2 linked regions of the Neodiprion lecontei genome follow. The protein of the gene in region 2 binds, or shares a complex with, the protein of the main gene of each other region. Links are inferred from orthologs where the notes say so. Each region holds a gene or a part of one and is shown on either strand. Other genes may lie near its edges. The genes, in order: ral GTPase-activating protein subunit beta and probable Rho GTPase-activating protein CG5521.

Region 1 (16,070 bases), on a different chromosome or scaffold from region 2:
TGAACTTCACCAGGTCATCAAACTCAACATCTTACAATTTGCATTAATTGTTCGTTAATATTTCGTAATATTAATTAGAAAGAAAAATATTTTTCAACGAAAGATTGCATGAAGTATGGCCTGATTTTCTGAACAGTTAAACTATCACACATTTGTTAAACATGTTCACTGTTATCTAATAATCAGTGCATATAACGTCGATTGGCACAAGAATAAGTTTAATGTGATGACTAATCGTGAGAAAAAAATGTCTACCAAAATTCATAAAACACGGATCTCGTCTGTGTGCTAGTCCAACTTGTAACTTTACAAGTCACTAGACCATCTGCCTCATTATGACTAATTTCAACTATTTTCCATTCTTTATTCGATCGCGCGACATTACAAGAAGTACGACATAAGATCTGTATGTACCACTGTGTGATGAAATGTAGATACGTACTATTAGAAATGAATTTACCAATTGTTTTTAATAAATGATGAATATTCCTTGTTTACAAAATAATTTTTCATTTATTCTCTAACTGATTATTACAAATATTACAACGTAAATTTTGGAGCAAAGTTCTTAAAAGTAATATTTGTATACAAGTAATTATTTTTCAATTTAATTTCATTTCTCCAGCAGTAAGTTTTGTATTCATTCACTGTAAAATGTACAGTGAAGTTATAATGCTGCTGCAATCCAAGAAATGAAAAGTAATCATCTCAAAGCCTTGTACAACCAGTGTGCTGAATTTTAATTTTTTTTCTTATGAGCACGATTTTCTTCTGCAAAATCTTTCAAAATTAAATATGATAACGTTTATAAGTTTTCGGGAATATTTCACCTTCCAAAATTGTTATCAACCCTATACGTAAATAATGACAACACTACTGACGAACTTACTGTAACAGAATAATTTCGATAACGTTAATCAATATCCGGGGATGTCTGAACTTAGAAAATAGATATCATTCAAATTATTAATATGGCTTTTCGAAAGTTTCCGAGTACTTTCGGTTATAGCTGATACACTGAATATGGAATATCGCGGGATGAACGAGATTGATGAGATTTAAATAACTGCGTATAATTTTCGGCAGTAAGTGCTCAACTAATATTATCATCAAAATTTAATGACAATAATAATAATAATGCTATTCGTAAATGACCCAAATAAATCTGGTCCATAAGTCACTCAACGAAGCAACGAAATTTTACTCAATCGAGTGGATTGAAAATGATAAATATTGCATACACCTCAAAATCGTTTCTAGAATATGTTCAGTCACTTGTCAATCTCACAAAATCATGTGAATGGACATCCCGGAGCCCAATGCCCCCTGTTTCCGCAGGAATAGCAACTACCATATCCACCGTAAAGGGCACCAATTCGACCTTCTATATAGTCGTCCTGTGGTTCGCTCCAATAATCCTCATATCCATCGACTATTCCCGACCAGCTATCGTCGCTGCTGTGGCCATCTGAAGTCAGACATTGAGAAAAGATTCATGAAAGAGACCTTAATCGCCTTGCAAGTATCGCATAAAAAAAATTTCTAAATGGCAATACACCCTTTTAATCATCTTTTTAATTATTTGCCGAAAAAATATGCAAATTAATGTTCAAAACCGTAAATTTCAATAGTGAATGAGTCATTACTGACTCATCCTTTAAAAATTCATTCCAATACTTTAATCATGAACGGTTCAGCCTTAAATCCTTCAGTTCGAAAACACATACTATACACAGGATCGGACATACCTGAGTCGATTGAGATGTCCATGTTTCCGGAGTGGCTCTCCGGATCCTCAGAGGTCTGACTATAGGAGTAGACGGATGAGAGGGAGTTGGTATCCTCACCGTCGCCGTCTGTTGCAAACACAATCCAAAAAAATTGGTATTTGTGTGCCATTCATTTGCCAGGTCAATAAAGATAGAAAATTGTATATACCTGTCGACGTGCTCCACGTTGAACCGTCATCATCATCGTTGGTCTGTTGGGTTGTATTACCTGAACCCTGGGTGGATGCGGGTGTCTGTTCATGATTTGTGGTACCACCTGAAATAAATATAAATTGAAGTGACTGATAAATAACGTATATTGTGTTTTCTCAAATACTATCAAAAATCAACCCCATTTTTAGTTCATCTTACTGAAACCACATTTTGGTACACATCTTGTACCAATCATTGAATATACCATAACACATATGTACATTCCAAGAAAGCTCTTCAGTACTCATCAACGAATGGTAAGACTACTTCCTAGAATAGAATGGAACAGCACAACACAATTTCTGCAGGGTAATGAGGTCCTTTCTTTTTACACCTACCACTACTTGAGCGTTGTTGGCGATGTTGACCGCTTGACCCTGAGGCATTGTTCCAATCCGGATTGCTACCGCTTGTCCTGCCTGGGATGTGATTGTTACCGGCTGTCCGACTGTCAGATAAATTTTAATCGCTTGATATTTTCATAGTTATATGATTCAATTTTCATACAGTTATGCGGTTTATCTTTGAATAAAATCTCTTTTTTGTCCCGAGGGTCTAATTCGAAAAATACAGTATATCGATTATGAAAACCTTTTAATATTGTCATAGATGTATTGCTGGTGAAACTTAGGTAACAGGAAATGTTACTAAACCACGTACAGTCTCACGTTCATATAAAAACAATAATAAGTTCGAACATATTCTTAAACAGGCACACAATTAGATATGTTAATTCTAATAAGGAGAAATAACTTGGCCAAATCAGACGAAAGTTGCTTACAAACTTGAATAATATGGTAACTATCATTCTTGTTTACATGTAAACATTTTTCAACAAGTAAAATCAACTTCAGGATGTAGATAACATTAACAAAGCCATGTCGAAACATGTGAAAATCTCAATCTAAAGTACACGAGACTGTCATAACGATAATTAATTTTTTAACTAATTATTGACAAAGGGAAGCCATATTTAGTAAGAAGTACAATATAAAAGATTTTGAGTGTGTATATTATACATGCAATGAAAATTCCATTAAAAAATAAATTAAAAAAAGCATCAGGAATATTAAATTGTTTTCACGAAAAAAGTAAAGCACCAAGAGGCTGGCGCACATTTCGATTATACGTAAAAATAAAGGAAACTAATCATGAATACAAGTTTCGAACTCCTCAAACGCAAGGTGGTTATTTTTCATGGGTTGGTTACATATTTCAACATTTCAGTAGATGGCGTCTTTTTAAATTGAGATGGGTAATACAAGTATATGTCGATTTGAAAAATTCACCAGAAATTTCTACTCTACTCAATGTGAATGAATAAACGGTACATGTATACATCGCCCTACGTAGTAATGCGATTCGAATTAAAAGCTCATGTCAGTATCTATTGTGATGAATTTACACACTGACCTACTGACCTAGTCGCTGCTGTAGAAGTATTTCCAGTACGATTAGTATTTGTATTCGCGTTTCCTCCCCTACCTCGGCCTCGACCTTTCTTTCCACGTGCTTGATTCGCCGGTTGCTTTGCTGCCCTTTCATATTCTGAAAAATATTAGTTTAAAGCTGTGAGAAAAATGTAGGATATATGGCATCTTGATTTCGACTTCTGATGTATCGTATTCTATATAAATAAGATTAGTACAATTAATTACACCACCTACCAGTTTATTGTGGTATAAAATTTCAACAGATTTCGTATGATGGATACACTATCATAAATCAATCATAGCATACGATTTGGAAATACTAATCGTTCCACCGACATTCACTGTCAGATGGTTGTAACTAATTTTCCTTTACTTAAAGTCAATAATACCTAATAGAATCAATAAAACCCACCGTTTTGGAAAAAAAGGTATGTAATTTATACTAAAAACAATTTTACAAATTATAATACAGTGCAAAACTGGTAGGCGTTAGATTTTACAACAGATAGAGGAAGGCCGAGTTTACCTCTCCGTTCTTCAACAATATCTGTCCTTCGTTTCTTATATTCCACTGACAAGTTTTCCACCATTTTGTCAATGAAATTGTCTAAAACCAAAGATCGATTCATGGCAATTATTGCCGTTCTGCACACCGGACATTCTTTCTTTTTCTTCTCCCAAGTATCTATGCAGTACTGACAAAATGTGTGAGTACAATTCAGTGTTGTTGCTTTTACGAATAGTTCTGAACAAATACTACATGTCAACTGTTCATCCATGATATCGCCAACTTTGTTGAAGACGTCTTCATTAGCTGACACTGTGCTGCTCGGTGGAGCAGCTTTCTTCGTAGGTGTTTCTTTAGTCAAATCTATCGTATCTAGAATCGTCAGATGTGACTCATCAATAATTTCAACGTTTTCTGCCACAGTACCGAGGGCGACAACTTTTGCAGCTGACTCTGCTGAAAAATAATCATGACTAAATTATATAACAAGAAACATTTGATTTTTTTTTTCAGATTAACACTGCCACAATTTCATAATAAACTTAAAAAGGATACAATTTTTATTCTTAATAACTTTGAGAGAAAAAAAAAAAAATCAACTATAATATGTGTAGATGCGAAATTTGCGTTCACGTAAAAAACAACATTACCTCATTAGAATAGGACAAGAAAAATTATGCAAAACTGAAGTGGCTATTCACGATTTTTTCAATATTAGTCATTTACTCCAGATTTGAGATGAAGAAATGACTTTAATCTATTTTACCCATCGTACCCACTCAACTATACTTTCCACAGTAGATAAAATTACCATTTTGTTTTTCAAGAGTAGTTTGAAGTTCATTGGCTTTTGATTCTATCTTGAGTAAAGCATCTTCCGTCTCCTTAAGTTTTTGTTCGATTTCAACCTTTTCACTCTGTAATTTTTCAGCAGTTTTCTTTTCTTCGCTGAGTGACTCGGTTAGCTTTTTGCACTCAATCTGTTGTTCATTTTTCAGTTTCTCCAACTGTTCTTTCATATTATTGACCAACATCTCTTTTTCTTTCCTACTAATCTCCAAGGCTTCTTCCAGCTTCTTTTTCTCCTCGTTCAATTTTGTCTCAAACTCTTGCCTCTCCTTATCTAATCGTTCCGACAACTCTCGATTCAGTTTCTCAAGATTCATTTCGGCCTGTTTGACTTCCTCTATATTTTTTTCCAGCATGTTGATCTGATTGTTTAAATGATCCTTCACTCCCTTTGCCGCTTCTCTTTCGTTCAACAACTTTTGCAGTTCATTTTTCAACTCCAGTTGCTCGTTGTGTTTGGCTTTCATTTGTTCCGCAAGATTATCCCTTTCCATTTGCTGCGATTCTTCAAAAGTCTTTTGCTTCATAACAATATCTTGTAAATCCATCTCTGGCACAGACATCTTCGCCTTCTTGGTGAGCGGCTCACTCTTAGAGAGTAGTTGCACTTTGTACAAAAATTCAGACATCGGACCAAACCGTACAGAATCATTTATTTTAATCGTCCGTATTTCTCCTGGTGCCAACTGATTCCCATTGACAAAAGTACCAGTCGTACTGAAATCCTGTATCGTCCATTCGCCAACGTCTGAGCGTTTGATAATACAATGCTGCCTTGATATCGAAATATTAGCCAGTATCTCGTCGTTCGATCGTCCTCTACCTATTTTAAACTGCGAGAAAATGGGAAATGCTCATGATGTATAAATCATGCTATCGATTCTGTCGTAACTGTATAATGTATACAAAAAGGATATAATTTGGTGGTAAAATCATATATATAAAAAAGAATATATATACTCGGCAATTTGTTAACCTATGAAAAATAGAACACGGGTTCTATGACATGCAATGATTGAAATAGAACTGAACTGAAATATATTAAAGCTAACTGCTCGGCTCAAAGATGAGGAAATCTTTTGTGAGTGAGTGTTTGATAGAACATGGTAAAATTCGTGCATGAAACTCCTGACACCAATAAGAAGCTGGTGAAGTTTATAGTGTGAGTAATGTTATTCCAACTGTAATACCTCATTTTTGTCAATGTGAATGAAACTACTGGGATCGGTATTTTCAACGTTGACAAGCACGGCCTCCAGACTATCAGACATGTTTCTTTTCGAACTATGACTTTCCTGTTCTTCCATCGTGGTTGATGAATGTTCTTGACAATTTTCAAAAACTTGATGGCGACCGCAGCCGATCTTGCGTTAATTATCAAAAACACGCCGAATATCACATCAACATCGGTTAATTCATGTTATAACATTGCGTGCTTTGTTTTGGGAACGAAGAATCGCTCAGGGAACTTGCTTCAAAACCTGCAAAACACTATCCTATTACCGAAGCTAAACTCATGTAAACAAAAGCAGCTCGTGCAGCATAGGAAGTGAAAAATTTCACTCTCTCTTTTTTTTATCGCCGAAACGATAACCTTTCATCACAGCGAATTAAATCTTTTGTATTATCAGTAGTATTTCGAATTAACGCAATTCTGAACCCTCACTGATATTTCACTTATCCCACTTTGAATCGATAAATACACCGTTATGATTTAATGTACTTGAAGTTATGCATCAAACTTAAAATACCGTTGTTTATCTTTGTCAATGCACCTGCAGCAAATTTCTGGCAATGCGCAACCAGCGGAAGTTTATTGTGTGGCGACCTCTGGACAACGACCAGGTTCGCCCGTCGTCAGAGCTGAGAGCAGCGCCCCAGATCGTAAGCGGCAGCGTAAGCAGACGCTGACGTTCCGTCTCTGCGACGAATGATCGTTCGAGAACTCACCACGCGCGCGCGCCCAAGAAAGCAAGACCTGTTACACTCAGCCAGAGCGGTGGCAAAAAGAACCGCGTGATACTTACCTCTGAACTCTTCAATAAACGATAACTCATTATCCGTGATACATCCAGGTGTACCAATCATTCAGTTACCCGTCCTCCCTTGAATAAAGCTAATGTAACAAGAAAGCCAAAATTGTGTTCTCAAATACTGGTTCTCAACCCAGAGTCTTATGCGTAGTTCACTTAAAATGATTAATGATCAGATTTGTTTGGTTCATTTATTTATTGGACGTCCACAGGTTTTCTCATTTTTTTCATTACAAAGAGTTGATTGTTCGGATTAAATTTGTATGACCAAAAATCTGTTTCATCATTTACACCTATCTTTGATAACTCGCCCACACTCGTAGTTTGTTTCTATTCTAGGCTCGTAGTTTTGTTAATACCCATGAAGCAAATCAGCTAGTGCGCATGCGCATTGCGCGCAGAGTTACTTTTGCCAAATTACCGCTAGGTGGATGGATTTCGGATTAGGTTTGCGTTGCTACTACCAGCTTTTCAGCTACACGAGCTATATTCGAAGTTTTCTGGCTGAGTTTGACAGGTCAGAGTAGGAAGTTAATTAATTATTCCTTTCCAATCGTACGTCATACTTGCGCATGGTAATCTATGAATTTAGGCGTATTCAACAGGGTTAATCTCAAGGTAACTTATACGCCTCACAGTCCAGCATTCGATATTACGTTTGACACGTAGGCTATCGTTGATGCAAAGCCCGACACTTGTCAAAGTTGCATGTATAACCTCAATAATGACTGGGCCAAGAAACTCGATCTCGGTAAATTATTAAATAATCGTCGGAGATAGCAAACGAAAGGTTAATGATGTCTTTTAACAATGGAGAAATTACGGCCGAACGATATTCTCGTAGAAAATTAAATATCACGACATCGCATATATGCGTTTCAGAGTTTAATAACCATGTTTTTATTTTCATATCGTAACCTTACCTCTGCACAGGATTCTGGAGGAGGAATGTATTCAGAATGGGCCTCCCTGAGCACACTGGTTCAGAATGGCTCAGAGGACAGCCAGAGCGTTTTAAAAAAATTCCACCCTGTAGCTGGACGAGAAGTAGCGCTCTCGATCGTTCGTCAGCTAGCTACTAATCTTGGCATAACACAGGCAGCTGAGCACAGCCCGTTGACTACGGATCGAGAAGTTCAGTGGTGTATGGAAGTCATTTGCTTCGGACTTTCGTTGCCATTGGCGGAGCATGATACTGTCAGAGACTGTGTTAATGTCTATTGCGAATGGCTATCTGCTCTGTATTCATCGCCAAAAATTTCTGTACCAAGACCCATTGTCGAGGACCCAAATTTTTATGCACGTAAAATAATCAGCCACTTCCATAATTTATTTGTACCAAGAAAGGGAGAAGGTAAGATATGTTTAACACTGTTTTTTGTTGTTTTTGTTGTTAGTTCAGTTGGTGAGATTGTAATAACAAGAATGTCTTTCAAGTTAATACAATATTACTGATCAGTTTAATAATAATTAATTTATAATTACAACATATAAGTCTTTTAGAAAATAATCTAAGCACAGTTTTAGAATCATTTGTCTGTTTTAAAGTTCTATTAGTTAGTTAGTTGAAGTTATTTTGTATCAACTTACAATGGGAACAAAATAACTTTTAAGGCTCAGTTTGAGTAATTTTGCGACTATTTTTGTTCCTTTGACAAAACTGTACCAATTGTTTATTGTCTTACGTAACCCTTATCAATAGACTAACCAATTTTTTCTATATTTCTTGTCCATAGTCTGGCCATTTTTGTACCAGGATTTAGGTAAAGGACTAAACTAACACTTTCTGCACTTGTCTTTCAATATCTTAGGTATCTTGAGTATTTTCTTCATTTTTTGTTGTATAACAATTTGTTACACTCTTTTGCAGGGGCTGACACAATAAATAGACAAGCTGTGCTATGTCACAGGGTGCTCAGAACTCTCCAGCAAGTCGCAAGAGGACCTGCAACTTTGGAGAGAGAAACATGGGAAAGCTTATTATTGTTTTTAATAGGAATAAACGATGCTTTATTAGCGCCACCTGCTGTTAGAGAGGATGCAGGTGAACAGCTATGTGAAAGAGTTCTTGGTGTATTGTTGGAGGTAAAAATTACTCAATGCTTTTGAGAAAAATAACAAGCATTTAAAATTAGTGAAGCTGAAGCTAGCAGCTAGAATTCACAGCCAAACGTATTAAACTTTTCGGAAATAGAAAAATGCAGTTCAGTTTTATTCTCATAATCCTATAAAAGTATTACAGATTAAAGGTATTTAACAAAAATTTGATTTTCGGTCTTCGTTACATTATTCGAATGAACATTAGAATGTTTGGCTGCTAATTCTGGCTGCTATCTTCAATCTCGTTTATTTCAGACCAATTCATGTATGGAGAATGTCACTTTGTTTCAGGTATGGCTCGTCGCCTGTGAACGCAATTTTCCATCTCCTCCACTGTGGCGCACATTACGAGAATCGTGTTTACGATGGCGTCATAGATTAGCTCTGGTAGAGCAATGGAATCGTGTTTGTTTAGCTCTGACCGCAAAATTACTGCAAGTTATGTACGGTCCAATGTTTCCAGAATTAAAAATCAGTAAGTAGTTTCAGATTAAGAACCATCTGCTTGCCGAGATCCTCTTAACTCTAGTGTCCTACATTTGGACTGATCAACGAGATTACTACTTTTTCTTGTTCGAAAATGTGAAATAATGAAACTCTAATTAAATTTTACTAACATTAACGTATGAATTGTCAGAGTTTTGAACATAATGATACAAACTAGGTGACGAAGACGCACACCTGGTACCTCAAACAATGTCTGATGAAGCAGTGGCACAATCGTGGTACAGATTACTACGAACTGTTGGCGATCCAGTAGATTTGTGCAGACCAGCTGTAGTATCTCAAACACAAGCATTTTTGCAGTACGCTATTGCTAGTCAAAACGTGGTTGATCCATGCCAGCATCCCTGCTTACAGGGCTTACCACAAATATTTCTAAAGGCTATCAAAGGTATTGCTGGTCAAGTTGATGCTTTTTTGGGTGAGTAGAATCCCCGACATTATGATTATATTTGTAATATCATGTGTATATATCATAAAATTTACCACATTAATGAATTTCGTTATATCTTCATAAAAGCTTTCAAATATTTGTACAATTTTCGAACTGTACGTATCAATAATTCAACAGCAATATTTCCCATTCCATAAAATACGATAATAATTCAAGCTAAGAAGCTGGGTCTCCATTTCATTACTGTTTGTCAAAGCGGTAGTGGCTACAGTTGTTTCTCTGTTCACTTATACAAATGTGGGTGGTTTGAAGCACGTTTTTCATATTTATATGTATGGGGGAGGCGTTAGTGAAATCCTTTGATTCATTAGAAATGTGTCGATACATACCAACTAGATAACACCTTGATGAAAACTTGATATCTTTTGTGAAATTAGTCTGTATATTCTGTTTTTGTTCAATTTCTCAGTGTATTACAGATTAAAAAAAAAATTTATTACAAAGTATAAATTAAATGTACATATTACATTGTAAAGTCTTATTCAAATTCAAATATCACATACCACTTACATCGCTATCAACGCCAAATCCAGCACTTTCGCAACCTTTTCTACTTTTTGGTTGTGGTCGCATGGCAATGCGAATGTTCCAGGGGTATCACAGGCTTGCTGCTGGGAGGAGTGTTGCATCACTAGTGTTGCATCTGCAAGTGGCGGAGGTGGTGGTGTGGCGGGAGATAAAGCTGGCGGTAAAGATCAGCCACAGCCCTCCCCCACACCACCAACACAGCGAAGACTGGCCAAAAGTTTCAGTGTCACACCTTCTGCTGTTACTAAGGGTATTATTATTAGTGCACTGATTTACCACTACAATTCTTACACCAACTCCTGCATTTATCTCATTCATGATGTAATAGCGCAAGATGCAATACCTTTGAACCTATGAGATCTGCGAAATTACTTTGTATTTTACAGTTATACATACAAATAATATCTATAAACCTATGAGAGCAGCTTCCTGAATACAATTTACTTGTTAGCACAATGCATCACTAGTATGAAACTTGTCTTTGCACGTTGCTATTCTGTTACACAAGATGGTTAGGAAATTCCATTTATTGGCACATTTACCATCTCAGCATATGCCTCAGTTTTTACCAAACTTTTGACGACTCTTATGCAAAATATTTATAGGATTTCGGAAAATCTGTTATAGCTAACTGAAGTGCTTCTTAAAAAAAAATCATATATTTACAACTTATCATCATGTGCTTAATTTTATTGATCAGGAATCCCAAAAGCTTCTCTAATTGGATTAACAACAAGTCGCATATCTAGCAACCCGCCTGCATCGACCCCCAACTCTGGCCCCTCATCAACTTCGAGCATAACGTGTAAGGCTAAATGAGGTTGTAAGAAGCTGCTATAATGGAATGGAACTTTAGATGAGAAAAATGTTGAAAATCATGTTAAAATCTTACCTTTTTAGCTGTAACATCGCTAGGCCAAGACATCAGGCCTCCCTTAGCACCAGGAAGGCCAAAATGTAACAGTATATTACATTTGTTTGGAGAATGGCTTTTCGAAGCAGCTTTTATAGGCACAGATGGATGGTCACAAAATTTGCCTCGTAAGCGTTCATTTTCAAATTTTATATCAATCTGCAAATAGGTTGAAATATTTTTGAATTTGCATCCAAGTCAGTTAACAGATACCTATAATTTGTAAAATTATTACAGAGCCATCAGGTGCTTCAAAGCGTCCATCATCAGTTCTTGTCGATGGACCAAGTTCATTGCAAGAAACAACTAGTGAAATCCCACCATCGCTTGGTATTGACCGTTATGAATCAGGTAGAGCCGAAGCTATGGGAGCACTTTGCAGGATATTTTGTGCAAAGAAGACTGGGGAAGAAATTTTGCCAGTTTATTTAGCTAGATTCTATCAAGCTATGTATCACGGCCTTAAAATAAACGAGGTAATCGCAAATAATCGTCTTTTCTCTTGGATCTCAACAATCGTGTATTCAGATGGGCAAACTTTTATCAGCAATTTACACTACGCTATTCTGAAATGATGAAACGTTCATTTTACATTTTTTAGACACGAGAATGTGGAGAAACTTTGGCCAGTATTTTGTTAAATTCAGCAGACTTATTTCGTCTTGATCTTGACGGTGTACAAGTATTGGTGCCAGCTGTTATATCTGCTTTGGAAATTGTGCTACCAGAAAAGGAACTGAAATTAAAGTCAAATGCTGTGTCCAGAATCGAATTGAGAAGAGCTTCCATACATCTGCTGATATCTATGCTGACACTTCCGCTAAATCTACAGGTAATGGTAACATCCGTTTGTTGGTGAATCAATGATTTCAATGGTTTCTGTAAAAGTTATATTTTGGCTTATGTGTATTTTTTTTTTTTAATCTAGAACTTACCTATCAAGGAGTTACCGTCTTTAACAGCGATAATCAATCAGGAGAAGAATCCAGTGACGTTTGTACAATTAAAACCCAGACTCATGAACTTGCTAATAAATGCATTACAGGTCGAATCTGATCCCTTAAACACACACATGCTCTTAGGTATGATTGAGATATTAGTTGACAAGTTTTATCCAACTCTTCTCTTTCTGCAAAGATGTTTTTCATTTTTCACTGTTATTACAGGGGGGTTGATGTTGAGCGTACAAGACTCGGCAGCTGCTGAAGAGGTTGAACAAGTAACTCAACCTGATACAATCACCAGTGATACTACAACTAATTTGCTATCATCAGGTAATAAGACGTCTAAGGAATCAGTTGTTATTACGATTGAATTAACAGTAATTATTATTTGGGATATTATTTTTTTTAAGAAAGACACACTTTTTTCCGAATTTTTCAAGCAGAACAAAATTTCATTGTTATTGATTGCCACGTTGTAACTGAGCCTTCGCACTGTTTCGTTTGATAAATAGCATGTACTAATTGAAAAGTTAATCAGTTTGCTCAAAGCACAATATTTTTTAAAATAAAGTATGCTACAACTCGCAGGGTTCAAAGAGTAAATTCAACAATATACATGAACAGTGATTCTCAATTTCGATTTGTTATACAAATGAATTTGGCTAATTGTACCATTTTCGTTTTCATCGAAACGTGGTATATTTTCAATAATGGCGGTCTTGCACACTAATCACAAGTTTAACCTGCAAGCATCTCGTTTTATTGTAATTTTTAGCTTGCGATAATTTGTATCGACCGTAAGAGAACAGGTTTGCTACGGTGTGAAATTTGCATTTGATTTTGCAACACAAACACCTGCTCTTAAAACTTTAGTTTTGTCGTAACAATCACCATTTTATCTTTGATTGCTTCTCACGCTTCTGTGACGTGTTGTTTCTCATTTTTATTTTGGGTTGTGTTCCGTTGCGCATTCACCATTGTACCATCATCACCTGCTTGATAGTCGCCAGTGATTCAACAAGTCAAGTAAGCATTTCCAGTGATCTACGTTCACTTGGAGATGGCTCTGATATTGTCACACTTCAAGAGGAAAACTCTGCCTTTGGTAAATACTTTGGTAATTATTTCTGTACTGCAGTACTGAATTGTTGTGCTCTCACCGATTGTCCAAAATGTAATTTAATCTTGACGTTAATATCACCAATTGTAAACGTATTTGACTGTTTATCTACCACATCCATGCAAAACGTTCATCAAAGGAACTTTCAGGCTAAATTCGTATACTGATTTTGTTACAGATTCTGCACATGCTCTTTTTGTAAGAGCCACATACTTGGTATGTCACAGATTAATATCATCATGGAAAACAGACTTGAACATTTCATTAGCAGCATTAGAATTGCTAGCAGGTTTAGCAAGGACGCATATTCGAGAGACAGGTAAATATTTCGGTTTATTCTATGTTGTACTATAACAAGAGATTTGCGATTGTTTCGTACTAAAACATCATGACTAATCAAAACAACATTACATATGTCAAGCAGCTCGGAAGCTAACAGGTTGGACTTCCAATTATGTTTTGTGTAATGCCCAAAAAGCAATTAGCTCCCATCACGCTCTATCAGTTCTTCAGTAAAAAAGTTTTTGAGTTTTTAGGAATATTAGAAATATTGAAAATATCATAGTATAAAGAATGTCCTAGAAATAATTTGAATAAGTTGTTCAAAACCTCATAACAACATATTGTCATAGATGCTCTTGAGTGTAAACGAGCAGTAAAATGGTTGTGTGATTATATCACTTACCAATGTTGGCGACCACCACCAGCTCATTCTAAGGACTTGCATTCATCTATTGTCGCAGCGTTCACTTGTCTAACCACATGGTTATCTGCTCACCCACAATTATTACAAGTTTGTACAAGACAATCAAGACGTTTGAATGATTTCTTATTTATGCCAGCTGAATTGGTTACTAATAACGATAAACATTTACAGGACAAGGATTGTCTTACAACAGTTTTGGAAGTAGTTGAATTAGGTGTGTCTGGTACCAAGAGCATTGGTAAGCCAGGAGAACCAATTAAAATGAAAGATGAAAAAGAATTAAAACCAGCATCAATGCGAGTTAGAGACGCAGCTGATGCACTCCTGACAATTATATTAGAACAGGTAAGTTCTATTCGGAATGAAGTCTGTAAACGAACGATCATGTTAGTTAAATATTTTAATTTCAATAATTCTACAATCAGGTAGGATATTTTCCAAGTGCCTGTGGAGCACAATCTCTTTCTTCCCTACTTGACGAGGTTTTGCTACTTCGTCACTGTAACAGCTGGACGGGCGGCCGCGTAGCTCGACAAGCTGCAGTTGAACGATTCCGTTACTTTGTAGCTGAAAATGCTACGATGCTAGCTCTGCTAGAAGAGCCGTTAGGGAATGATCAGGATCCACAACCTACTGTTACAGTGTTAATAAGAGGTCCATTCGGTCGACATGCGTGGACAATGCAACTTAGACATTTACCCAGGCATAAATCCAGCGTGAGAAGTATGAACTCAAATCCTGGGCGCCCATTGCCTTTGGCCGAGGCTACACCAAGACCAGATTATAAGCCGAGATTTTTCCCTGATAATGTTGATCGCATTCCACATTGTAGAGTGTAAGTAGATATTGACATGCAGTAACAGTTATTCAAATGATTGAACAAGAATTGAGGCTGTTGATTTGGCATCAAGTTAATTATTGATATTCTTGATTGTGGATATAATAGGGATGAGTCAATACCAAGCTTGGATGCAGTAATGAATGATAATGATACAGTAAAAAACGAGCATCATCTTTTGTCACAATTACTGGAGAGACAAATCAATCTGGAATCAAAGTCCAGTAATGATTTGGCTCGAAACGCAGATGACAAGATTGAAGAATGTACCCCGCCAAAAATTTGTCACGAATTTCAAACAGCCAGATTGTTCCTCAGCCATTTTGGATTCTTGAATTTAGACCAAAATGACAACGAAAATTCTACCACCAGCGGGCTCACAGCTTTGGATCCGTCAATGCCTGGATTCTGCACAGACTTGGAAAGTTTGGACCACACAAGTCCGAGAACCTGCGACACAGTACACGTATTTTACGTTCGAGCTGGTCAAAAATCTGCTGAAGAAATACTCTCTAATGTGGTGAGTTCGATTCTTGTCCACTTTTACAGTATGTACAGATTTGAATGAAGAATTCAATGGAGCCAAATGAATACTTGAGGGGTTGATTTTTGAACCTACACCTGAAACTGATATCATCTCTTTTTGTCGATAAATTATACGCAACAGCTACATGAAACGAGCGTATCTCCACATTTTTTGGAGTTCCTGAGTTCACTTGGCTGGCCAGTCTCAGTGTCATCTCATGCAGGATGGACAGGACATGTCTCTACATCGTGGCGTGCTACAATTCCAGTTACTGTACCGCAACCGGCTCATAGCGATCATGGCGGTGCTTTGTATAATGGCGACACGCATATTTTATACTGGGCTGATGTGAGCTCAGAAGTGGCGTTTATAGTGCCGACACATTTGATGGGGAACATGAGCTCCGATTCCATTGATGAGTCTAATTATAATAGCGATATAAGCGGTGGCCAAGGTAATGCAAATACACATGACTTGGATTATTTACTTTTTTAGTTTCATTGTAGCACCTCAATGATACTCAACAAATTTTTAAACAATGATGTGAGATATGAAAATACTCTGTGGTAATTCTCAAAGATTTTTTGAAATATGTTTTAGCCATGCCCATATTTTTTTGATTGGTATAATTT
Region 2 (16,267 bases):
AGCTGCTACCTTGACCGTAGTATATTTTTGGGACCCTAACATAAGGCCCACGTAATCCACGGGGACGTCGACCACGTCGCGACGAATCTGTTCCGGGGGCTCAATGAGCCAGAAGACGCCCGTATATACCTATGTAATATTATGTACACGCACATATAACATCATGGATATATATATATATTCATATATGTATATGGGTATTGTGTGAGTCCGTGTGTTCGTAACCTTGCTTCTTTTCTTCCAACAAGTCCACCGTCGCGGTGCGCACGCAACGTAAAAACAGGGAATAAACGTACACATGTACGTAAAATGTATGAATGTAATATACGACGTGTGTATAATGTACAGGCAAGTGAATATAACGAGCTTTGAAAGCTGCGTCTTGTTCCAGTTTTGCGGACCGTCGTCGTATGCCTGTATATAATTTAATAACGCCGAAATTTGTTGTACGGATGGATCTAAGGTCGATATGTGAAGTTGTGAATTCCCCCAACCAGTCCGCAGACTCTGCGAAATTTACCGGCGAACGAATCTCTCGCGTTATAACGATCTAAACCTTTCAAATCGCATTAATAACCCAAATCAAGTTTCAATACGTATATACGTGTACACGTGTTTGTATTCGTGTATCCTTGTGAACATTTGACAGAAAAACAAAAAAAAAAAAAAAAGTAGTAGAAAAGAAAAGACAAACGCCAATTTATGCAGTGAAACAGGATGTGGACGGTATTCGATACGTCGTATGGATGCAGCTGATCGATTCACCGTCGCAAAGCGGAAGTCACATTCTGACAACCTTACAACGATTAGGATTATCCAGATTAAGGGGACTGGTCTGCACTTTGGTTCTGTCGGTACGTTTGGGATTATGGTTACATATCAGATTCGAAGTATCATTTAAGAAGCACCACCCATATATTCGATATTTTATCGTTCGGTATAATTATGAGAAATTGGATCAACGGTAAGATTTCTTTCAATCTTACTCCTTCGGTACATCGATTAAAGACTGACGAATTTCTTCCTCAGATTCATCGAAATGGTATCATCCCGATTTCCCCATCGCAAATCGATATCTTGTTAATCATGATTGCGTGATAATTCGAAGGGTCGATATTCGCCCGCGGTTGATTCGAGTCGAGACTCGGTGTGGCCGCAACCGGATCATCGAGTAGGTACGTGGAGAAGGACGAAGGGGAAAGGAGGAAAAGGGGGAGGCTCGTGTTTCCGCCTGGTCGAGCAACAATGCCCGCAGACAAATGAGCATCCCGCCTCCATTGTTCGTTACATCGGCACCACCGGGCACCATCACCACGCGGGTTGGTTTGGATATTCGAACAAGAAGAAGAAGAAGAAGAAGAAGAAGTGGAAGTGGAAGAAGAGAAGAAGTAAGGAGGAGAGGACGAGTCGCGACGCAGGTACCGGAGAAGCGAGAAGCAGAGTAGATGAGATGAGATGAGATGAGGTGAGATGAGATGAGATGACGTCAGAGAGGAAGGGGGGGGGGGGGGGGATCGACACGTCCAGTGGCCCGCGAACGAAGAGCCGCACACCCGGTCGACGAATGGGACCCGACTGGGGGGTCTTCGATCAGACTGACGATGCGGGCCAGCACCGATTAAACATCGGATGAGAAGAAGACGCGACTGTTTCGTCAGTATCGAGTCACCGATTAGTTATTCCAGACATTTTTTCATTCAATTTTTTCTAAAAGCACAATACGGACGAATGGTGGTTCGTTGGTTATAAAGAGGAACCGAAGCTGTTGAGCTGTCGATATGCTTATGGACATATATATATATATATACTGCGGAGGGATAAAATTTGATTCAGTCATATGTCGCGATCTGAAACGCGATGTTTTCTAATGTTTTTTTCTGGTTACAGAGGGAGAGAGAATTAATGGCTGCGGGTGAAAATTTAGAAAGACCAAGACATGGAATAAGGTGACAATATCGAATATTTAAAGAAGCGAAAATTCAATTTGGTAAAGTAGAAAATGTTGAATATATCGAAGTACGGGGAAGTAAAAAAATAGAAAGGTCAGAATATATATATATATATATATATATATAATACCAAAATGTAGAAACGTCAGAATTCGTGTCGATAATATATAATTGAATAAGATTCTAGATTATATGTTGTTCTATAATGTTTTGTATTTCCGTATTTCGACTTCCCGCACTGAAACCTTCTGAATTTCGATAATTTTGATTTAAATTTTCACGTCTTTGAAAATTCTACATCTTGGATACTTCCATCGTTCGGTCATTCTTTTATTTTTCACCTCCACCCGATTTAATATCCCGAATTCTTATAGTGCATTGCAGGCAGTGTGCACAATGTAAGGAATAAAATAAAGGGCACTACAGGTTGTGAAGAAACGAGAAAATAAAAATAAGGACGCGGTTCATGCGCCGCCGCTGGAGGTAAGAAAGATATTGCGAGGATCGTGGAATTAAGAGGAGCAGAAAAGTGAGTGGAGGGGAGGCGGGGATATAGTCGTAGGCCTAAGGTGGATCGAATTTCTCTTATCCAGAAGGCGGCTGAGCCGTAAGCCCACCAAAGAGCAAGGTGTGCTCTGGCGGTGCTTGCACCGCAGGGATAGACTAGGCTCCTCGCTCGCGTCGACGCATGAATGGGGCCTCCTTCGCGAGGACGCGACGCGAACGAACGGACCCAGACATCTGGTCCCGGGTCTCTCCTTGCGCATAACGCGTTCTACCACAAGGCGGGTATAACGCGACCCTCGCACAGTCTTCTTGTATTAAAAGCTAAAAAACACTCCGCATCCCCTTCTCCTGGTCTTAATTACTCCTGCGGCAGGTCGAGGATTACGCGTATACGTATAGTATACTTCTTCGGTTTCTATTCTCTTCTATACTCTTCCTCATTTGTTTTTTTCGCAACGGATTTCAGCGTCAGGCGCACACGCGTATACATTCGTACTTGAATACCACATGGAAAATCGGTCATGCAGGTTAATTTTATTATACAGATAGACGCAATGCTTTTTTCACGTAGCTTATAATGTGTTGGCTTATCCGATGCACGACGTGACGTTGCGGGTTTTTCATTCGTGGATCGATTTCTTATGCATACAACCTTGATTATATGCATGTATAGTATATCCATGACGTATGAAAAAGAGAGAGGGGGGGGGGGGGAGGGAGAGATAGAAAAAAGAAACACGGGGATACCCCGAACTGAACGAGGAAGCTAAGAAGAAGAAGGCGGAACGAATTACTAAAGCCGTGCAGGTCTGCCGGGAGTTACTATTAGACGTGCATACGTCGTACATGGGAGAAGAGGGACTTCCGGATTCGCCCCCTACGGACGCCCCCCGCAAGGGTAAACAGTTTTTTTTTTTTTTTACCACCGCCCTTCCCGCTGCGGCAAAACAGCCGAACGACGGTCGTTTATTAAGGGCGCTTTTTGCGGCCCCCGTTATATGCATGTATATATATATATACACTCTATACGTGTATTTCTATATAATATACGTCGGTTCCGGGTCGTAGATTTTACCGGAAATCGACCATCGGTTCATCGGATTATCCGCAATGATCGGGAACGAAAATCGCCCCATGCAAGCAGCTTATATGGTATATAATATGTAGACCTATAAGTAATTTACACGATTCTAAATAGTTTATCACAGACGTACGATGAAATTCGTTGTTTCTGTATTCAAGAGACGGACAATCCGCCGTAAACAGAATCAATATCTTAAAACGAACAATTTATAGATTAATACGAGTGTGCCTGATCGACGTGGAAACGGGAAACTGAACCTAACCACACTTCCACACTGAAATTTCTACCGTCGAGACAAACTATGTCGAATACAACGTAATCCATCATCACGGAATCAAATGTTGATACTTCGCGGGTTTCTCGTAAGCGGGTTTCGATTTCTGGTGCTTGACGCGTTCTTGAAAGGCCTTCAAGTCCGCGGTCAGTTCCTGGTAAGACGGCGGCACGGAATCGGCAAATTCGGGCTCTACCTCCCTAATTATGGTGTAAAAACAATTGTGATCACAAGCAGTTATAAGACAGAAAGCGACGGAATGATGTACGAACCGAAATATTTATAAATAAGTAATTAAGTAACATACGGAATAGGTATAAATATAGACACACAAAACATACACATGTCAAACCGTAAAGTAATAACTTGCCATCGGAATAAAACTTTTGTAGAAACAAAAAAAAAACAAAAAAAAACGACTCCATTCACACAAGCATATAACTGCTCAGGTGCGGAGAACTGTGGATAACATCGAACAAAAAAAACATGCACATTTTACATACAAAAAGCAAAAACGATCTTTGAATAAATCTATATCCAAATCTCACTGATAATCGAAATGGAAAAACCTGACTCACATGTTTTGCTCCTCGCGAACGCAGCGTTTGCAGGTGTTACTGGCTGACAAGGCGACTCGGTCCAGTCCCAGCTCCTTCAGGATCCTCAATTCGTCGAACCAAATCCTCCTCCTTTGCGGCGATTCGGAACCGGCACAAACTCCCGAACTGTTGTCATCGCATCCTGGAATCGTCGAATCAAGGCACTTGTCGCACCGAACTGACGAGTCCTTCGACCAATTCACTCGCGACTCATGGCCATTGCCTGCCGACAAATTTTACCATGTATGTTCGCAGCTTACTTCAGAGCGCTCGAATTAAGCATTGATCAACTGAAAACTCCGCACTATAAGCACTAATGTCTTCTTATCGCGGCGTTTTATTTCGTGTTACAAGTAAACGTTACACATTCCTGCCCGAATTTAACGATTCAGCCAACTCTCGCGTGCTTTAACAAGGGTTTTTTCTTTCAATTAAAGCTTGGTTGTCGAACGAGGATCGAACTGAGCTAACAAACCGACAATTGAACGACGCATACTACCACATCCCGCGCTCTGTTCAATTGTTTTTAAAACCATCGACATTATCTGCGTATAGATTTAAACTTGCGGTCGCGATTCGAACCGGAAGTGCATTGAATTACGAAGATTGTTGCGTCGGAGGGGTGAAATAATAGAAATATGTCGAAATAAATATACCCTCGGATTATTACTTGTTTATAAAAGCGCAAATTCGTTGGAAAGGGAGATTTAAGTCACGGTGTTTACGAAGCGACGCCTTTAGTTTCTTTTGTTTTTTTTTTTACATAAAATCGATCTATAATCGCAATATGCGGCTTCGATAATCCGTCGATATGACGAAAATAATAGATTTTTTTTACTAGGTTAATACTACTTAATAAAAATGTATGATTTGTTTTCGTTCACCGAAAACATTGTACTCAAAATACAGGCGTGTCATGTATTTTCTACGGAACCTGCAACTGCAAGCCATTCTTTAATCATGCAAATCATCGGATGGATTCAACGAATACAATTAGCGTTAACGTTTTATTCGCTTGGCTGCAGGTTACCCCTACCTTAGCATGTACGTTATATGTCGTTTAAGAAAAATTTAACTATCTGTTAAAATAGATCGGGAAGCAATTACTGAAAATACTTCTTACGCAAACACGCCGATCAGGACCATCTAGCTTTCATAGTCAGACCTGTCTCGAATGCGGAGAATTCTCGTCAACGCTGTTCTATCACCTAGGGGTTAAACAGCGTACCCTGAGCCGGCCGAAGGGGAACCAGTTCTTTCTGACAGTCGATAAACTCCCAAAAAGACTTTATCTTCGCTCGACGACTCTTACCGCCGCCCCTAGTAAAATCTAGCTCGATACCGGCCACCTCGCTTCCCGCCATGTCGCTTCTCGGTCATTCTCTGTCCGTTTGTTTCTCGCTTTGCGCTTGTTTCTTCTCGCAGTGACCACGGAGTACGTAACTACTAGTCAGCCTTCGATGGGCTAACTTCGTTACTTTTAAACTTGTCTTACTAGTTGTGGCGTCGACGGTTGTGGCGCTAGCTTCGTTCCCATGCAAATGGCGATATCAGGCGATCGAAATTTTGTCCGAGCTTGCCTCCTTCGCTCAGTTTTCGCTTCAGTGGCGCAGCAGTTGGCAGCAGTGAATTAAGTCGGCGCGCCAAATTCAAACTCACATACCGCGGAACTGTTTCTACATTTTCCTGACACACATTGAAAAGGAAATTCGTGCTGCTAATAAGCGAGAGTTAGAATTGGATCAGTATTTAAAAATATTTTAAAGATATCAGGTCGCAGCTGCTCGGTAATATTGAAAATCGGAGTAATCGGAGTGATCTAACGATGGGTGATGTCATTACCCTGCTTTGGGATCTGGCAAGTAGGTTCGCGGCGAGAATCAAGATGGCTGCCACATGCGATTAACGATACATCGGACATCCGACTTGTGCAGTGCGCTCGGTCCGACACACTGACATTTGGTACATGTATTAGCTACTTTTTTATACCGATCCGTCAATCGTACTTCGGGGTGTTTTGTCGGGGTAATTATCATTGCGTGTAACTGATGAGGAATATTTCCAATCCGCTCGATGATAGTATCTCTCAGCGAGTCCGCCGGCGACTCGCATTGAACGACAATGTTCAGCAAAAAACTTCACGTAGACGTCAAAAAGTCAACACTCAAGATACAGGATGTAAAAAAGGACAGCGCTACGAGGTTTAAACATCTGAAAATCGTTCTTGGTGAGTATCTGGCATTTCCTACACTATGATAAATATCTTTTTACAAACCTCCCTGCCTGCTGTGTCAAATCAGATGGATACATTTGATTAACCAAAACACCTTTAGGTTCCAATAACCAACAGGGTGTTATTTCACATTCTCTCTTTCTCTCTCCCCCCCCTCCCTCTCTCTCTTCCACATCTATTTGAAGAGAGACTTCTGTTGGTCTTTACACCTACGCGATTTTCATCACAAATACCTGTTTTCTTTACGCATAGTTGAAATCACATTTGTTGTTGTAGAATAAAGGATAGTTGTCAAAGCCTTTAACGTCAGCGAAGACACGTCGCGACGCAACTCAGACCCTGATCTGCATTCCATTAATATCGGTGTATCACATGGTCCGATTTGATCTAAGATTTGCATCTTTGAGTAAACACATAAAACGATCTGTCCTGTCTATATTTGGCATCGACTAACACGATTGCATGTAAATATTTGTTTTGTACAACAAGAGAGAGGTGCTATATATTATTTTCAATCTTCTCTTATTCTGAAATACAAAAAGTTGTTGATGTAAATAAAAATTTTCAAGTTCCTTTTGTGTTTAATTACCTATATTAACAAAATCCTTGATATTGATATTTGCTCAGGATCCTTGGAGAAATACAAAATATTTTGCAGTAAATGTATTTACTTGAAATTACTTGGTGTTTATTATCATATTATACATTCTTATGTTGTTCTGCATTTCATGTTAGATCGGATTATTCCATAACAAAAATTACCGATTCATTTCTTCGATTACATGCTATAATTTTATAGTAAGTTTGAAATGGTTTTATTTATTCGTATCAAGTCAAAGATGAATATTGCCTTGAAAAATGACCATGTATATGACCATGATTATGAGTCGTCCTTTACAAATTGAGAGAACTTAATTTTTGCCAACTGGTTATTATTCTTTGCAAGGTAAATATGAAATCTGAGCAATTGAAACCGAGTCCAAACGTACACGAATTGATTTTCGAATAAATATCTCACCAATTATTCCACCAGGCAGATGTGGAATATTTAGTAATCTGTAAATGATGGCTCTTCTAGTCTGACAAAACATTGTATACAACATGTAATTTTTATTCATTTTTCCTGATCCTGAAATTTTTACTGTCGGCAAATTGCTAGATACAAGCACTTGCTGCCAGTGTGAATGGCAATAATAAAAAATGCCTAGAATAAATAAAACACCTCTGCGTAGTCCTGAGGCAGTTGTGGTCAAACAACATTATAGTAACTGGTTGGTATCTAATCACCGGACCACATTACCAAGCTGACCACACAGCTTGGTTCGGCCTCCATCTGGAGCTAAAATTACTCTTCACTGTTAAAAACAGATAATTGCATATCAATAATTTTCTCAATTCGAACCGTCTTGCTGCAGAATTTCCTCGTTTAATTATTTTTATGTTACATCCGCAAGACTTTCTTTTCTCATATCATGATGTTATCAAATCGTTTCAATAAGTTAATCCCAAGTTCTTTTCCACGAACAACAATCTGTTTGCCCAGTTGTAAGTCTCTAGTATTTTATTTTTCCGATGCAAAACATTAGAAAACAAAGGATGTTTTTACCTTGACGATATCAAGGACTTGTAATTTTTTCTCAGAAAAGTCGAGCGGCTCATTACACTCTTTTTTTCTTTCACTGTATTTTACAGAAAACGTAGACACGGATGAAGCGAAGGGTTTCTTCGAGGGGAATTTCAGTCATGTATACTTCATACTGTACGACTGCTTTGTTTCCGCGGAAGCAAATTTACGCCAGCGTGGTAAGTTTTCTAAACTTCTTTTATTCCACAATGTTATGCGCCGTTTACTGCAAAAAGATATACACATGTGTATGGAAACATTCTTTATATAAACAAATACATCAATGACAACATTGGTTTCATCAATGGGCATTTGTTAATTAATTTATTGTTGCCTGTTGTTATATTGTCACAATTATTAATTCTGTGTATTCGATAAACTGTGTACTGATGACAATTGTTTTTCTCTATTTTCCCCCTCTATCACTTTGCTGACAGAACTTTCCTTTCACCTCGGTAAGTGAAACATTTTTGCCGAGCATGCAAAATACCTTGCATATACTATATATATATATATTTTTTTTATATACTTTTTTTCGCAGTCGAGCAGGTCGTAGAACTTAGAATTGTGTATGAAATTTATATGTAACGCACTGCACAATGGGATGAACTATTCTCTTATAAAAATATCTCTGAATTCTCCTACTTTCTATGGCTCAATTATGTAATAACTGTAATATTCTCAAATATGTTGCTATTCGATCGTTCGTTTTTTTTTTTTTCCCATTCGTTTGCACTTCTAATACAGATTTCCATCGTCGCTAATAAGTTGCATGATCAAATATGAGATTGCACGGAAACGGCAGTAACGATTCCCCTTTCAAAAATGACCCATCTCAGAAAGCGATGACTTGATAGATTGATGGCATGATTTTCTGTGTGTTGAAAAATAATCGATATAAATCAGGAGATACAAAGACGTTTTAGAATTGACCTGTAAATATAGATTTTTTTCTGCAAACAGTTCACAAGGCGCACAGAGAAGAGCTGGAACAGGTGTTACAGCTTTTGGAAAAAATACTGACACTCCTTCCTGAGCTTCTGAATCGAAGATGGCAGTGCCACAGCCTTGCCAGGATATTGAGGAAACTTTTACACCCAGGAAACAGCTGGAAATTACGTCGTCAAGCCATAAGGTTTTGCAAAATTTTATGGTCTCATTGAAATATTCCGATTTGCTTCCTGTTTATTACTTTCGCAACAATTACGGATCCTCAAATTCTGCTCATTTATCGCTGCAGATACTTCATACTCTGGTACCAAGCGCTCGGCGACAATGCTCCGGAACACATACATCAAATGTTCGCCTGTCTGGTACCCGGCTTTCCACCAAGTCAGGCATCGCCCTATAAGCTTGAGCGTAAGTCGGATAACAAAAAGGATAAGCCAACGAAATCAGCGAGCTACGATGACAAGGAAAAGAGAGAATTCTATGACACGCAATTGGGACAAAGCATTTTCCATGACACCGGGGTAACTCAAGGACCCATCAGCCTGGTTGATGGCGGGCCAATTTTACCGCCGCAGAGCGGCGAAAAGCCACTGGACCACGAAACCGTGCGGTTTCTTGAAGCTCTACTTGACTTTATGGTTAGCCAGGTATATGATCGTGGATAAATATACAATTGGAACCCTATTCTGTCGCCCGTCGTTTTTAATTTTCTTTTTTCTTCTTCCTATGATTACAGGTTGTCAAGGTCGAATGGCGAGACAAACACGCCAGACAACACAAGGCGTTTCAATTTCTACTGGAACGATTTAAGGCAACTTACTTGCGATACATCTGCCCAGAGTTTAACGACAATTTTTCACTGTACAAACCGAATTTAGAGCTTCCTGGAATGAGGAAACCTTCCCCTAATCAAGGCCAGGACGTTTACACACTCTGCAAAGTTACGCTTATCAAATGGGTCGCTAAATATACTCATGTCACGAAGAAGGATGGTCTATTGTTGCAGCCTTTACCAAAGTACGAAACAACGAATGATTGTTACTTATGATTGCATGTTCAAAAATAGTTCTTTTTTTTTCGATCCTCTAAGGAACTGATCAATTGTTTTTATCTCATCAGCACGACAACTAGTGATGAAAATCCAGAACCAGAACTTCGGCGTGTATCCGTTATCCAGAATTCAACGGATCCAAATACTTTGTCTCCCGAAGTTGCTTCCCAGCATGAAAACCAGGAGGATAACACTGTGCTGGCCACTAATCTAGTGCGAGAAGTCTTCTACGGGAACCGAGACAATGTTAATTTCGTTCACGAACTTTACAGACAAGCATTTCTACTAGATTTCACTCACGCTGGTGCTATAAGAAAGGCTATTGCTGTTTACAAAGACTGGATACAAATGAATGTAAGCTATTTTGTTGAAAGCTAGTGGAACTTGAATTGATTGCTTCGAATTGTAGTATAGAATTTAATTCGTCAACTATTATCGTCAGGAACTTCCATCATTCATGCTAGAGCCCTTGGAGAGTCATAAGGACAGAGAAATTGAAGATCAAGTGAAGAGGGAGGCTTTAATTAACGATCGAAGTCCACCGGAAAGCTACAGACAGACTAGACTAAGAAACGATTCGTATCTTGGAGCTATTCACAGGGAAAATTTGTTTGTGAGGGCTGGATTGCAAAATGTTTTACAAGTTTTTGTAACACAAGCTTCAAACGTATTTTTCTTAGAAACGCCAGGGGGTAATGCGTCCGCAACTCTGTTAGAGGAACAAACTGATAGCTGTAAACGTGTGCTAAATGTTTATCGCCACGTCGTTATGCAAGTCAGACTTGAACCCGCCACCTGGGAACAATTACTTCGGTGAATATTTGTTTCAGTACACAAATTGACACACGCCATAACTTTTTCGTGCTTGTAATCTGAACTCATGATTTATTACTATCGACAAACCTTTGGAATTTTGCATTTCATTCTTTTAATTGTTATTTTTCAGAGTATTACTACAGATAACATCTTTGGTACTAAGCGACAAAACATCGCGTAGAAAACAACAAGAAAGTATCGGCGGTAAATTGGCGCCGGCGATATTTCAGACTCTGATAGTAACTTGGATCAAAGCTAATTTAAACGTTGTTATATCTACTCAGCTTTGGGACCAATTTCTCGCCGTTTTAACTTCCCTAACCCAATGGGAAGAGCTGATTCGTGAATGGGCTGTAAGTTGCGAACTTGACACAACACACACCCTCCACTAAAGTCCCAAAGTGGTTTGAATTAGTATTTTATTTTTATTTTTTGTTTTGGATCACTCAGTCACGCATGTAAAAAAAAATATCAGTATTCGACGCTGGTTGCAGATAATTTATAGGGAAAAAATATTCAATTAACATTAGTACCACTTAAAACTGTAGAGGTAACTTATTACTTATCCTTGATACATGGGAAAAAAAATCCCATTACCTGAAGTGTTTACAAATTTAAAAAATCTCAAACTGCTTCGAACAGAATAATTCGTAAAATTTCAATTCCGTAATATGATTTGCAGAAAACTTTAGACACTCTAACCAGAGTTTTAGCAAGACATGTGTACAATCTTGATCTCAATGATCTACCACTGGATCGGCTTAGTGAGCAAAAGTCAAAGAAAAGACGAGGTATCGGCAGCCGTGCCGCTTCAACGGGATGTGTTCAGCCCCAAAGGAGAGGAAGTGTTGATCATGAAACTGGGGCAACCATGAAGGACAGTGTTACTGGTGATTAAAAATATGCGTAGACCATTTCGACCATTTTAAAAGCCTAAACTATTCGGTGTAATCCAATTTCAACTCGAGCTTTCTCTCAAACCTCGCAGATCATCCACTGCGCGACCCTAGAAAATTCCGTCCGCTTCCGAGAAGCGCTAGCGATAACACAATATACAATGGGAAAGGAAAAATTAAGCTGCACAGACATCGCACTCACACTATACATTCCGGAGTTCCTGGTAAGTTGTATGATCACTCGTTAAATTTGTCGGTAGGCTTGATGATTCGCTGATGTTTTTTTCTTCGTTGTGAGTCTACAATCTAATCGCCATCGTGTTCATACTCATATTCAAACATGGATGCATATAAAACAGCCATTTTGTTGACCCTGGTCTATTTATTACCTTTATTCTTATTTTATTTTTGTCATCGTAAATATTATTATTATTGTTGTTTATTTCCCGCTTTTTCGGTGTGTCATCATCACTGGGATAAAAATAATCGACTCTTGTGTCAAACCTCCTTCATCGGATGCAGCACAGTTTTAAATCGTTTTTCACTTACGTTTATTTATCATATCAGTCATCGCCATTTCAATTATTCAAGCAGTGTTTGTTGGTGACAGTAAAAAATGTTGTTTTTTGAAACTCTACTGCACAATTTTTTTCAATTACGTATCTGTCTGCTAAAGTGTCCAATGCCTCTGCTCTAAAATTAATCTCACATTGAGTTTAAGTAATAAAATGGATAATTATCCAATGGTGGTATATGGGACAGCAAATGTGAAAATATTGACTGTGAATTGAATGGACTCGCATTAATTCGGTACTTGCGATTAACGAATCGTGGTGATATTGTAGAAGAAAAAGTAGGCACATCGCAATTTCTGATTGCGGTATATACGATCATTGTGAACTAAGCGTGAATTTCCTCGGGCAGTACTCCCCTTGTCAATAGAGCAAGATATGGCAAGGCTATTGTCCACTACTGCTACGACTACAACGGGTAACGAGCCTGCAACAACAGTATCAAAAATGTTACCAAGCAGACGCACTAAGTCATTGGACAGCGTCGTTGTCGTCGACAGCGAACCTCCATCTCCGCGCTGTCCTTCGCCTACACCCAGCAGTGGCGTTGATAGCAACAAGGATAGTCCAATACAGATAGAAAATATTGATGGGAACAGCATTGGTGAGTAGTAACAGCATCCCTAGAATATGAAAAACAAACTGCACGGTAATTTTAGAATGGCAGTGAATTGAGAATTGTAAAAAAATGATTATTCTTTCTATCTCACTTACCGAGATTAGAGTATTTTAAGATATAAAATAAGCGTTGCTGTACACGTTTAAGCGCAGTTTGAATCGACAATATTTTTCGTTAAATATTCAATAAGCAACAATTTTCTTATCGATTCGAAATTGTAAATACAGTCTTCAGACGAATAATTCGACGTTTGTAACGATTTACCTAAAAATCATGCGTACAATTTTTTGGTAATTACATATTACTCTGCTCGATGGATTTTTAGGAATTTCTGCGAAATGTTTACACATAACGTCGTAAATACATGAAGTAATTTAATAGCTGCATTAGCACGCTCCGATAAAATACCACATGGCTTAATTCTGATAACTACTTTACGGCAGGTTCATTTACTATTAAACATCAACATGGTACTGAGTGAAATTGTGTTACTGGGAATTACAAGCCTTGAAATTAGAAATTTAAACAGGAAAGTACATACAAATGGCTTATTGCCAAACGCAGGAAGAATTCAATGTTTCCTTTTGATTGTACTAAACCTCTTAGTTAAAGCAAACTGGAAGTGACGCTTGACTGAAGATGGTGTTTTTATAAATTCTACTTATTCATTCACTTACGCAACTGTAAGTGGGAACTTAACATTTAGATCATTCACTCTTACTTCTTTGATAGCTTGATCAATTCGTGCATCTAGAATCTTTCTACTTTATTGCTTGGACAACAACAATGCCTTTTTCGCTTAAAAAATTACTCAAGGGTAAGAAGTTTTTTACGTTTGTCCTTTCGTCTGTTTTAGTCTCTCTCTTTTTCTCTCTCGCTCTGTCTCTCTGCCATATTCGATTTGCTCAATACATTGGCTAATTTTTATTTGCTATTACTGGGAAATCGTGTTTATCATTATCGCTTTTGAAAAAAATTTTATTATAAAATATACATTTCGTATTCTTCAAACAGCCCTCAAGGAAATATATATTTTATTTCTGATTATGTGAATTCGAAAGAGAGAAAAAAAACACGGTACAAGTTCTTGACCTACGATACTAAAGAATTGCTTGAAAATTGAATTTCGAAACACTTCGGTTTAACATTCTATTATTGTTGTTCAGATACAAGCGATGTATCGGAAAGACGATCAGTTATGGCTGGAGGCGGAGTTCCTGGTTGGCTACCAGACGTCGCTGTAGCTTTATGGCGACGAATGCTATCAGCATTGGGCGATGTTAACAATATTCAAGACCCAGCTCTTCATGGACAAGTTATGGACTACCTTGTCCAGCTGACTCACACACTGATAAAAGTGAGTTTCACAGTTATAGACTCGTTTTCAAGCACCCGGCTAATTAATTCAATAATTTATCTTCGCTTCAGATTCGTTTAAACCAAGGAGTGTCCGGCGACAATCAAGGCACACCTCCTGTACCAGACTTAATTCCACCATTGACTATAATCGCTCCCTGGTGCTTCAAGGTGCGACAAATTATTCACTATTCTTGTCCCCTTACTGTGCAAAAGCAACTAAATTGTCTTGTTATTCTACTCATTTGCAGGCGATACAGTTGCCGCAACAGTATGAAGTTGGAAGGCTAGCCGCATATCGTTTGATTTGTCTTCTCACTGTTCAACCGATGGACATATCTCTTCCCAAGCCACATTTAACGCTATTTTACCGCGCTGTACACAACGGAATAGTCAGCAATAACACCAAGGTTCTTCACGCTCTTGTAAAGTACACGGGACCCAGATTATTCAGCCTCAATCTGCCTGGTTCCAGTTTACTAATTCTCGACTACATCCACGCAGCTAACGTCATACTCAACAGCAACGACGTTGAGGTGAGACTCGTCGTAACTTTATTGCTGTTAGTCAGTGTATAATAAACTTTTGGCACATTTACAGGCGCCCAGAACAGAAGCTGTTTCCATATTGGGATCGCTGCTCTCACTACCAGCTACAGTTGCTAAACTTCCAGTATTACAGCCCTCTGGAAGCGATATCGTAACAGTAACGTGCCCCGATGCGAAGGTAAGGAAAATGTCTTGACAAGTTTTCTGAAAAGCCAAAGTTTAAAGTTTCAAGATTATATTTCTTTAATACCGCGTAAGGTCTAACAACGATTGTTCAAAGAATGAGATGATATCATGTTTTAAACTCGAAAAGGAGCACATCGTGACGATCCTGATCAGGAGTTGTCGCAGAGAACCAACGGGTGTGGCAAGGTGTGTCGCACTTTCCAGCATCGGCATGTTTGTCTACAGAGAATTGTCGCATAAAACGCAACATGCCAGAGTGCCAGAAGCTGTTACGGTGCTTCTTCTAGGCCTGAGGGTGAGTTGAATCAGATTCAATGGACAATGATCAATCTATGCATGTTGTAATTTCGTTTGAGCGCAGAAGTATATAAGTATATATTTTTTTTACAAAGCTGAAGTGGTGATAGTAGTTTGAATCTTCGACAATTTATTTTCTTTTCAATTCCATTTTCAATATATCTTATGATATTATATTTCAAAGTAGTATAAATTTTATTATTTATTAACGAAACGACACATTTGGTATTTGGTCGATTGAGCCACTCAAGCATGATTTAGTAAAGCAATATACACATATACGGCACAATGCTTAACGCGCGTAACAAAGCTGCATGTTATAATACACATATTGTTGAATAACTCAATATCGGAGGTGATTTAGATGCTGCAGCTATTGTAGCGATTAGTATTGTTGTTATTTCTGTTGGGTCTGGTTGACAGAGGTTGCAGGTTGCTGGGCAGCGAAAGGATGGGATGAATTTTCCCCTGCTAGACAAGGTAGTCTCTCTCTTGGTCGCTCCTACAAACTCACTCCCAAGTCTTTATTGTTCATCTTGAACTATTTCAGTGTCCGTCCAACATTTGTTATTTCAATTGTCCACGTCCGACGTTCTGAAGCCTAAATCGTTGTCTGTTTCATCCCGCAAAGAAAGATCAAATTGTATAAAGCGACGTCGAACACGTTACAGAAGAGAATACGGTTAGAAGTTTGAATCTACATTT

Evidence for each region.
Region 1: probable Rho GTPase-activating protein CG5521 (region 2) and ral GTPase-activating protein subunit beta share a complex: the UniProt entries of both Homo sapiens proteins name them as parts of the heterodimeric RalGAP1 complex. The link is inferred for Neodiprion lecontei from reciprocal best matches to the Homo sapiens genes RALGAPA1 and RALGAPB.

Annotation. Positions count from the first base shown.
Region 1 is NC_060262.1:38,832,744-38,848,813, reverse strand, and holds the start of ral GTPase-activating protein subunit beta, read left to right. Parts: upstream 1-7,429; 5' UTR 7,430-7,484; coding exon 7,485-7,556; intron 7,557-7,576; exon of another isoform or gene 7,577-7,595; intron 7,596-7,738; coding exon 7,739-8,159; intron 8,160-8,541; coding exon 8,542-8,568; intron 8,569-8,675; coding exon 8,676-8,890; intron 8,891-9,196; coding exon 9,197-9,380; intron 9,381-9,569; coding exon 9,570-9,830; intron 9,831-10,455; coding exon 10,456-10,641; intron 10,642-11,091; coding exon 11,092-11,196; intron 11,197-11,291; coding exon 11,292-11,432; intron 11,433-11,541; coding exon 11,542-11,780; intron 11,781-11,905; coding exon 11,906-12,136; intron 12,137-12,232; coding exon 12,233-12,386; intron 12,387-12,470; coding exon 12,471-12,578; intron 12,579-13,200; coding exon 13,201-13,365; intron 13,366-13,546; coding exon 13,547-13,687; intron 13,688-13,792; coding exon 13,793-13,807; intron 13,808-14,000; coding exon 14,001-14,161; intron 14,162-14,245; coding exon 14,246-14,419; intron 14,420-14,499; and 6 more. Other genes in the region: E3 ubiquitin-protein ligase RNF8, read right to left, coding at 1,293-1,468, 1,749-1,856, 1,939-2,046, 2,321-2,430, 3,404-3,530, 3,942-4,379, 4,735-5,605, 5,963-6,079. UniProt on the Homo sapiens protein: Non-catalytic subunit of the heterodimeric RalGAP1 and RalGAP2 complexes which act as GTPase activators for the Ras-like small GTPases RALA and RALB.
Region 2 is NC_060264.1:3,473,975-3,490,241, reverse strand, and holds the start of probable Rho GTPase-activating protein CG5521, read left to right. Parts: upstream 1-6,308; 5' UTR 6,309-6,534; coding exon 6,535-6,640; intron 6,641-8,338; coding exon 8,339-8,449; intron 8,450-8,707; coding exon 8,708-8,725; intron 8,726-9,233; coding exon 9,234-9,405; intron 9,406-9,510; coding exon 9,511-9,868; intron 9,869-9,957; coding exon 9,958-10,238; intron 10,239-10,340; coding exon 10,341-10,626; intron 10,627-10,714; coding exon 10,715-11,085; intron 11,086-11,218; coding exon 11,219-11,441; intron 11,442-11,770; coding exon 11,771-11,978; intron 11,979-12,076; coding exon 12,077-12,208; intron 12,209-12,908; coding exon 12,909-13,160; intron 13,161-14,341; coding exon 14,342-14,532; intron 14,533-14,603; coding exon 14,604-14,702; intron 14,703-14,782; coding exon 14,783-15,067; intron 15,068-15,131; coding exon 15,132-15,257; intron 15,258-15,392; coding exon 15,393-15,560; intron 15,561-15,985; coding exon 15,986-16,042; intron 16,043-16,267. Other genes in the region: uncharacterized protein LOC124294672, read right to left, coding at 3,867-4,014, 4,393-4,636, 5,642-5,777. UniProt on the Homo sapiens protein: Catalytic subunit of the heterodimeric RalGAP1 complex which acts as a GTPase activator for the Ras-like small GTPases RALA and RALB.